Linked DNA regions of Coturnix japonica. The main gene of each other region encodes a partner of the protein of the gene in region 2 in a complex. Links are inferred from orthologs where the notes say so. Each region holds a gene or a part of one and is shown on either strand. Other genes may lie near its edges.

What was found.
Region 1: the proteins of PRKAA2 (region 2) and PRKAB1 are in contact, whole or in part, in a crystal structure (PDB 8BIK), measured with the Homo sapiens proteins. The link is inferred for Coturnix japonica from reciprocal best matches to the Homo sapiens genes PRKAA2 and PRKAB1. Residues at the interface, in NP_006243.2 of Homo sapiens: Gly9, Val11, Lys12, Ile13, Thr21, Lys29, Lys31, Asn48, Arg49, Arg53, Asp56, Val58, Ile61, Lys62, Ile65, Gln66, Lys69, Val82, Ile83, Ser84, Thr85, Pro86, Thr87, Asp88, Phe89, Phe90, Met134, Met164, Ser165, Asp166; in NP_006244.2 of Homo sapiens: Pro79, Thr80, Val81, Arg83, Thr106, Ser108, Asn111, Val113, Ile115, Gln154, Val155, Asp159, Phe160, Glu161, Val162, Phe163, Ala165, Leu166, Asp169, Ser170, Lys172, Cys173, Pro186, Tyr187, His188, Gln189, Glu190, Pro191, Tyr192, Ala202.

Annotation. Positions count from the first base shown.
Region 1 is NC_029530.1:8,559,577-8,564,230, reverse strand, and holds the start of PRKAB1 (5'-AMP-activated protein kinase subunit beta-1), read left to right. Parts: upstream 1-1,760; 5' UTR 1,761-1,909; intron 1,910-2,021; 5' UTR 2,022-2,031; coding exon 2,032-2,196; intron 2,197-2,784; coding exon 2,785-2,951; intron 2,952-3,412; coding exon 3,413-3,506; intron 3,507-4,016; coding exon 4,017-4,131; intron 4,132-4,411; coding exon 4,412-4,545; intron 4,546-4,654. UniProt on the Homo sapiens protein: Non-catalytic subunit of AMP-activated protein kinase (AMPK), an energy sensor protein kinase that plays a key role in regulating cellular energy metabolism.
Region 2 is NC_029523.1:23,047,259-23,051,128, forward strand, and holds part of PRKAA2 (5'-AMP-activated protein kinase catalytic subunit alpha-2), read left to right. Parts: intron 1-353; coding exon 354-441; intron 442-1,973; coding exon of another isoform or gene 1,974-2,022; exon of another isoform or gene 2,023-2,569; intron 2,570-2,585; coding exon 2,586-2,810; intron 2,811-3,870. UniProt on the Homo sapiens protein: Catalytic subunit of AMP-activated protein kinase (AMPK), an energy sensor protein kinase that plays a key role in regulating cellular energy metabolism.

The sequences.
Region 1 (4,654 bases), on a different chromosome or scaffold from region 2:
CGTTTTCCACCTCCCAAACACAACGGCATGTTCTGCATGCACCACCACGGCACGCCTGCCTTGAAATGTGAGCAAGGCTTTAAGAGGAGGCGGCCCAACTTGACTTCCTCTGCAGCCCGGCCAAATGGGATATATTCAGAAGTGACCTGAATGGAGGAGGGTGGTAGGGAGAGGGATTGCTCAAGCAATCTAAAGCTGGAGGAACAAGCCCAGGAGGCCAAGGTAGAACACAAGGTTATAGGAATTGAATGGGGAGGTTTCTGCAGTTTATGTTTTCCCTGTCTTGAGCTCCAGGATAAATCCTGCTGCTGCTCCCAGCTGACTCACTTGTCTCTGTAGCACAGAAGCTGCAAGGAGCACTTGCTCGTATATCCTTTATAATGTGATCTGTGTCATGTCTGAATTTGATCTGCTGGCTCATGACTGAGGATGGCTCTTCTGTTTCTATCATATCTATCTAGAGGGCTGAGTCAGCTTCCACTTAGCTTGCAGCTACTTCTCTTTGGCCAGATAAGCTGGTGTCATGTCAGATACCAACGGATACATCAGGATTTTAAAACGCACAGTCCAAGATATTTGGCCACTACACTTCATTTTTCAACACATTTCAGGCAAGAGAAGGGGCAGCTCCAATGACATTAAGGGATGCACACCAGAGCAGGCAGTGGGGTGGTGCTGAACCATGGCAGCCACATCTATAGGCATCTCAACCAGAGTTCAGCCACTTTGGGTTTCAACCAACTCCAGGAGAGCATCCAAACAGGTCAAATGGGATTCTGACCTGCAGAAGATTCAGTGGGTGGGTGAGCTCTGCCAGGCCATCGTGGCATGTCCCACATCTCCTTTAGGAACAGCTGTGAGCGAGCCGGGCTCTGCTTCAGGCTGATAGGAGGAAATGATACCGCAGTGCATGTGATGACCACGCATCCGTGTCCACTGCCTCCATCCTGTCCAAGGCCAGGAGCTCCCAAAGGCTTTGGAGTGACGCTGCGTGGTGAGCAACCATTCTGTCTTTATACCAAAGCTTTACATTGAGAGAAGCTTGGACTTTCCTTACCCAACAGCCCCGTGGGTTATCAGCAGCCCTTATTCTGCAGTGTTATCAGTTTGTGGTTTTTGTATATAACAAAACCGTTGTAAAGCAGACAAGGTGAGCCCTAAAGTAGAGATGCTGCTGCTTGCAGCTCATCTGGCTCTGCAGGCTGTCACAGCGGCTCCCCAACGGGCAAGACAAGGTGCTGTGTACCTCCAATGTGTGCGCATTGGTGGCAGGGGACACAAAACCATCGGGTCTGCAGGCAAAGAACATGAGAGAGCTAACCTGTGTTAAGTGTCAAAACAACAGCTGCATTCTACAGCAGCATAAGGGCACTGTGGGAGCTGGGGAAGCTCTAACAACCCCTGTGATGTGTGTGATGTGTGTGATGTGTGCTCAGGGCGCTCTGCCCATGGAAGACAAACGAGCAGCAGCTGCTCCTCCGGGAGCAGGAGCCAGCACCGGGAATCTGCCCATCCCAGCACAATTCTGCCTCCACGTCCCGGCGTGCACAAGGATCCGATAGAGACAGAGCCCTTCTGGCCGGTCACTTAACAGCGCTCCAGTTTCCACCTCCCATCGCAGCCATCACCTCCCCCGCCCGCACAGCAGCTCCCAGCACAGTCTGAACGTATTTCCGACGTGGGGCGGCGCTTCCTTGTTTCTCATCCCCGAGTAAATCCGGAACCCGGGGCCGGCTGCTGCCCGGGGCGGCCATGCGGGGCACACGGAAGCGGAAGGGGCGGGGGGCTGCCGGGCTCCGTATCGCTCCGTATCGCTCCGTGTTATTCGTGGCCGCTGCCGGTCGTTTGCACGGGCCGCTCGCGTTGTCTGCTCTGAGTGTGATGCGATTCTCAGCTGCTCGGACGTTGGGTAAGTGGCGTTCATTGGTGTTCAGCTCACAGCCCGGGATGGTGTTGTTTTCTTTGCTTCGTGGTTATGTGGCTGCAGGTACTAAAGGTTAAACTGGCTTCTGCTCTTTTAGGGCCTTAAATATGGGGAACACAAGCAGTGAGAGAGCCGGGCTGGAGCGCCATGGGCACAAAGCAGCGCGGGGTGATGGGGCGGGAGGAGCCGGCGGCTCCAAGGATGGGGACAGACCCAAGATCTTAATGGACAGCCCTGAAGATGCGGACCTGTTCCATTCGGAGGAGATGAAGGTATGGCTGCATTCAGACGGGACCGCTTGGCAATGCTGGGGCTCCCTTAGAGCTTTACCCATTTACCCACCGCTCCCCATCTTCCTTCCCATCCTCTTGCAGCCACCCGTGTTGTTTCATCTGGTATTTTCCATACTAAAAGATCCCTTGGCTGCTTTTTTTGCTCATTATGAGGGGGATTGCTGGTACCTTTGCTCTGTGTTATGTGTCCCATGAGGATACCTGTCCTGTAGGCAGCTTGTAGCCTTTCAGGATCTAACCACAAGTTTTATGCCTACCCCAATCTTGCTGCTCCTGAAGTGTCTTTCCCCTTAACTATTCTTTTTCTCCTTATTAATATCGGTGTGTTTTGAAAGCTCCCATGAGCTCAAGTCATTTGTTTTTTACGTTGCCATCCATTCTTTCTATAGATTTGGAAGGCTTTAGCGTCTTTGCAGGATTCTTGCCACTGAGCAGCACGTAGAAGGGCCACTGTCTCATCTTAGCATGTCTTGCCAAATTGCACCTAAGCACAGAATTAAATGGAGTGAAATGCAAGCTAAGGCTGCAAAGAGGGGACTTGTATTGATCAGGATGTTGTGCTCGTAGGCGCCATTGGATAAAGAAGAGTTCCTAGCTTGGCAACAGGACCTGGAAGTGAGTGACAAAACCCCCACTCAAGCTCGACCGACTGTCTTTCGCTGGACCGGAGGAGGGAAGGAAGTGTATTTATCTGGGTCCTTCAACAACTGGAGTAAAATCCCTTTGACGAGGAGGTAATAGACTTCTGCAGGGTCGGTGGTGTTCCCTATGGACTGGGAATTCAGTGAGGGAAATGTGCTTGTATTTAGGAATTGCATATGCTGAAGTATCAGAGCTCACTGTGCTCCTTACTTGAGAAGTGAAGAGACACAGTGGCATCAGTGCCCCGTCTGAGTTTGTATGGGAACTGTTGGATCATGGCCTGAAGCACTGATGGAGCACCTGGGGAAAGGACCCGGTCAGCCCTAGCAGCACAGGTGAAGGCAGTTCAGCTGTGTGATAGGAAGGGCTGGAGCCTGGCTGTGCTTCTCTTAGACCTCATTGAAGGGCTGACTGCCACTGGGGGAGGGTCTCTGGTTGCATTGTTAAAGTTTTTGCATATTAAGATGGTTCTGTGTTATGATGTGTGTCACAGTGTGTAGATGGATTCACTTCTCCAAGTGTTTCAGGGGTGACTGTTTGTCTTCAATTCCAGTCACAACAACTTTGTGGCAATCCTGGACCTGCCAGAAGGAGAGCACCAGTACAAGTTCTTTGTGGACGGGCAGTGGACACACGATCCTTCAGAGGTAGTATTTTCTTCAGTGCACTGTATTTCTTCCTTGAGGTATGTGAAGAGGAGAAACTGGTTGATTTCTGTACCAGCAGATGGTTTTTGTTTATTAACAATAGAAACAGATGAGGCTGGTGAGAGACATGGTGATCCCTGTGGGTGATGCCCGAGGACAGGAGGCTTTGTAACAAATAGGTGTTGAGATCTGTTGGCTCTTCATATAAAGAGATGCCAAACTGTCTTATAAGGCACTACAGCATTGCTGACAGCCCACATCCCCCTGTGCTGCGCTTGCTGTCTGTGCCCAACTCACGTGGACTTAGTGAGCTCGATTGACTAGAGTCCCTCCCCAGCCCTAAATACTGCACCAGACCCTTAACTGAACAATAACTGCATTGATTACCTCATTCCCCACCGGTACCAGCCTGTTTTCAAAGCAAAGTAACTCATTTGTGCTGGTTGTTTAGTTTTGAGAATCCTAATAGCCTGCAAGTGTTTTTATTTTGCCTTCTGTATCTTTTCCCAGCCTGTTGTAACCAGCCAGCTGGGGACTGTCAACAACATCATCCAGGTGAAGAAAACTGACTTTGAAGTGTTTGATGCTTTGATGGTGGACTCCCAGAAGTGTTCGGACATGTCTGGTATGAGCTTGTTAGCAGTTGGGTATCATATGTGGTAAGCACTCAGCCTCCAAGACCTGTGTAGTTAGTGTGAAGGCAGGCAGACTTTGGGTATCTTAAATCACTTACTGGGTGGTGACTGATCCTGCGGTATTGCATCAGCTGCTGCAGCTCAGGTACTTAGAGGCCATGCATTTCTTTTATTCTCTTGTTCCTGGATATGAGAACTCGCTTGGAGTACTGGAAAACACAGGTGTAAAGAGCAGATGTTCTTACAGGCTATTTCCCATCTCTTTGGCAGAGCTGTCAAGCTCACCTCCAGGACCGTACCACCAGGAGCCTTATGTCTGTAAGGCAGAGGAGCGCTTTAAATCTCCACCCATTCTTCCCCCACACCTGCTGCAGGTCATCCTGAACAAGGACACAGGCATTTCTGTGAGTACATCAGCCTGTTTGCTGGATAAGGGCCATGATGTTGGGAATGGATGTGGGAAGATTGGGGTGCAGACAGGGAGCACTCAGGGAAGAGCCTTAGAATAGTTGC
Region 2 (3,870 bases):
GTGGCATTACAGATTGAAACCCAACGTAAAAGCTGAGTTTCCAGCCCTGTTCTGTTCAGTCCTTTCTAGCAGTGATAAATTCTTTTGAAGATTTACACATTTCACAGCCATTATGTTCTCTGAAGAGAACTCTCTCTTTTCTTCTATGGTAGAGAAGAAAGGTTCTGAGGTTTGCAACTCAGAGAAGCAAAGTTAGCTCGGAGTCAGTAATACTAGTTTGGAAAGAAAATGAGAGCTGTAATTGCAAAGTGGTTCAAAGGTGTCTACTTAGATTACATCAGATTTCCCCCTCTGCTTGCTGTATCTCTTCTCCCTGTCTGGATGTCAATACGTAGCCAACACCTTGTTTTTAGGATTGTCCAACATGATGTCTGATGGTGAATTTCTACGCACCAGCTGCGGTTCCCCAAATTATGCAGCCCCTGAAGTCATCTCTGGAAGGTAGGACATGCCACTTCCAATCATGTGAGTATGTGGTCTTTAAATTTGCTCTTGGGATTGGAACCAGCTTGTAATAAAGCAGCTGAGTGGTTCCAGCCGGTGTTTTGTGCCTGGGTGAGTCTGCTGGAAATATCTGAAGGTCTTCTTGCTCGTTGTATTTCTCAATGTCTGTACTAGCAAAACATGTTTTGCTAAAGATGTTTACTTTGGAGGAATTATTAACAGCAGATGTTTACTGTGTACATTGCTAATTAAAGGGAATGAAAATTACTCTTTGGATGCAGTCACTGAGGTTTCAGAAAGATAGGCTTTTCCAGGCCACCCCTTTCTCTCCTGCCCACCTATGTAAAACACAGTGTTAATGAGAAAACCACTCATTAAGCGAGCAATCAATATTCTGCTTAATCACTTCCCTACACTGCTAGACCCTTGTATTGAAAATCCTTGTCTTTGGGTCCCTTAACTCTCAGGCTTATGTTCATGCCAGCGGGTTCAGTGGTGGTAGCTTTGTCTTGAACTGATGAATTGAACTGACAGAACTGCAGAGCAGTGGCATCTCTCAGCTGTGTCCTGACTGGCTGCAGCAGCTGTTTGGAACAGGGCATTCTGAACACAGGCTCTAGGGCTGAATTCAGTCTTGCCCCATTGATACGGTCATGCCACTTCCCATGTTTTACTGTTGAGAACCTGAATTACGTTGAATTCCCTAATTCTCCTCTGTAAAAGCATAATGCAGTTTACAAATACAGATCTTTGAATTTACAGTCCTCTGCGTGTTCCTTTGGACTGCCCATAACCTTAGCATCCACTCCATCCTTTTGAACCATCCTTTGCATGAGAGCTACTTTTCATAATCTGGTATGTCTCTGCCTATAGCTTTCAAACCCAACCTTTTGTTTAATGTTGTGATGATGACTGTTTTATGCCTGTTTACACAGGCGCGTGTGTTGGCAGAGTATCCTAGGAACTAGACCAGCATCCAAAAAGCCTGTTGTGACTATGGTTCTACATATGAAAGCAAGTAAATCCTCATTTTCAAGAGGGGCACAAAGCCAGAAACTCGACAGTGATTCAAAAAAATATTATTCCCATATTTTTTTTTGTAATAAAGGCCAAAACCACATATATATTTTTTTCAGTTCATATAGGAGACAGAGAGGAACAACCTGCCATTTCCACCAGGGGTGAATGTGCTGCTGGAGGTGGATATAGCTGAGCTCCTCCCAGAGACGGTGCACTATGTGAGACCTTGTGTTTCAGCATCATGAAAGTGAACCTCATTTGGGTTTAAAAGTCCAAGCACGGTTCAAACAATGTGGCTATCAGCCAAAAAATAGACATCCTGTCTGTTGGAATCAGACATAGACTGTGGGGACTTGGAGCCGATTGCATTAGCGGAATGCCCTGACTTTGCTGCTGTCACTGTTCTCCATGGGAGAAGTCTCAAGCATGAGCTCAGAAATGGTATTTTGTTACCTGGGTAGCATTCATAGAATGACAGTGTGCATGGCTGGTTCTTTTTTTTATACCAGGTGTGTCTACAGCAGAACTTTTCAAGAGGAGCAAGTGCAGGACGATTAGGTTTCATGAACAGACCTCTGTATTGGATTTTACAGTCCAAGAGTAGTCACTGACTCCCAGAATCTCTGAGAAATCAGCAGTTTCAGCAAAAACCAATGAACAAACAAATCAAGCAGGCAAGCAGCAGCAGCAAAACCCATATATTTGGGGTATCCTGACTTGGTGATGCCAGGAAGCACATTAACAGCTTGTCGGAAGCTGGAGCTCTTGCATACCAGCACACAAACTTCAACTGAAAATAAACACTCAAGAGATATAGTATCTGCTGCTGTTTAATCTGCTTCTGAGTGAATAGAAACTGCTGGCTGAGTCCCCCAGCCTCGGGGGCAAGGAAGCAAGCAGCCTGGCAGAGCTCCTGGAAATGTAGATTTGGGCTTTTTGTTGGGTCTGGTGGAGTTGCTCATATTCCTGTTTCATGCATCACGAAGGAGCGTGATCAACTAAAAGCAGCTCTGCGTCATTCCCCATCACCCTCGAGTAGGTTTTTGGCTTAGGCAGCCCAAGGATGCAGAGAGGAATAGAGGAAGGGTTGTGACCCATTTCTCCTCCTCTGCTTCACACAGGCTGTATGCTGGCCCAGAGGTGGACATCTGGAGCTGCGGTGTCATCCTCTATGCCCTCCTCTGTGGCACTTTGCCCTTTGATGATGAGCACGTGCCCACCCTCTTCAAGAAGATCCGGGGAGGTGTGTTTTACATCCCCGAGTACCTCAATCGCTCCGTTGCCACTCTGCTCATGCACATGCTGCAGGTTGACCCTCTCAAGCGTGCAACCATCAAGGACATCAGGTCAGCCCACAGCGTGGTTTGTAGGAGTTGCCAGTTAATCCAGCTGAGTTTGGTCCTAAGGGATTTAAGGAGCCCGCCTGAACTCTTCTGTGCCAATGGTGAGGCAAGTGCTGCCAGCTGGTGGTGGGTGATGATGAATGTGGGATTGGCGACTTCATTTCTCAGTGGCTTCACTAATTCAAGTGAAAATAGGCAATAGGTAGCTTCCTGCAACTTATATACAGATAATTCTATCTTCATACATTATAAAATAGCCTCAAAAATCTCTTAGTAGTGCTTAACATAACCAGCTCTCACACAGTATTCCTAAGAACTCTATATTGGCCAGCTATTTTTCAGTACTTTATTTCAAGCACATCTCTCTTTGGTAGCTGTTTAGAATAAAAGTGTTGTCATTGCACTTGCTGTCTATTCGATAAAAAAGGAAGTGGAACACAAGAATTACTAGCTAAAATGTTAGTCACAGTTTAAAATGTCAGCAAATGTCCTTAAATGAGGCATTTCTTCTGTAGTCAATGGCTGTACTACCCATGAAAGGGAACAATTGGGCACTTAAGTAGGCATTTGTGCCTTCAGATATCGTGACATGTTTGTAACTGGCAACAGGGCTTTGAATGTTTCACAAACTGAGTAATTTTTTAAATATTTATCTTGTGAAAGTGGAGTCCCATATGTATTTTGTGGAATTTATAGTAGCCATTACTATAACATGCTTTAGCAGAGGGTTGGGCTGGATCATCTCCAGAGCTCCCTTCCAACTTCTATGGTTCTGTGATTACATGTAGCTGGTGTGCTAAGCATATGCATAAACATCACAAGTACTTACAGGACATAATGGATTGTTAATACTTTTGCAATTGATGGCCTGAATTTAACCATTCAAATAGGATCTGAACTATAAATGCCTTTTAAACTTCACGAGTCCTGAAGAGTAGGAGATTTAATTGTATGTTAGAGCAACAGCATGCATGCCAAGATTACCATTGATAGGTGGCACCTATAGCTGAGGCTTGCACTGGCATTTACCTGCTTAATTACCATTGACTTCATTGTGAACTGG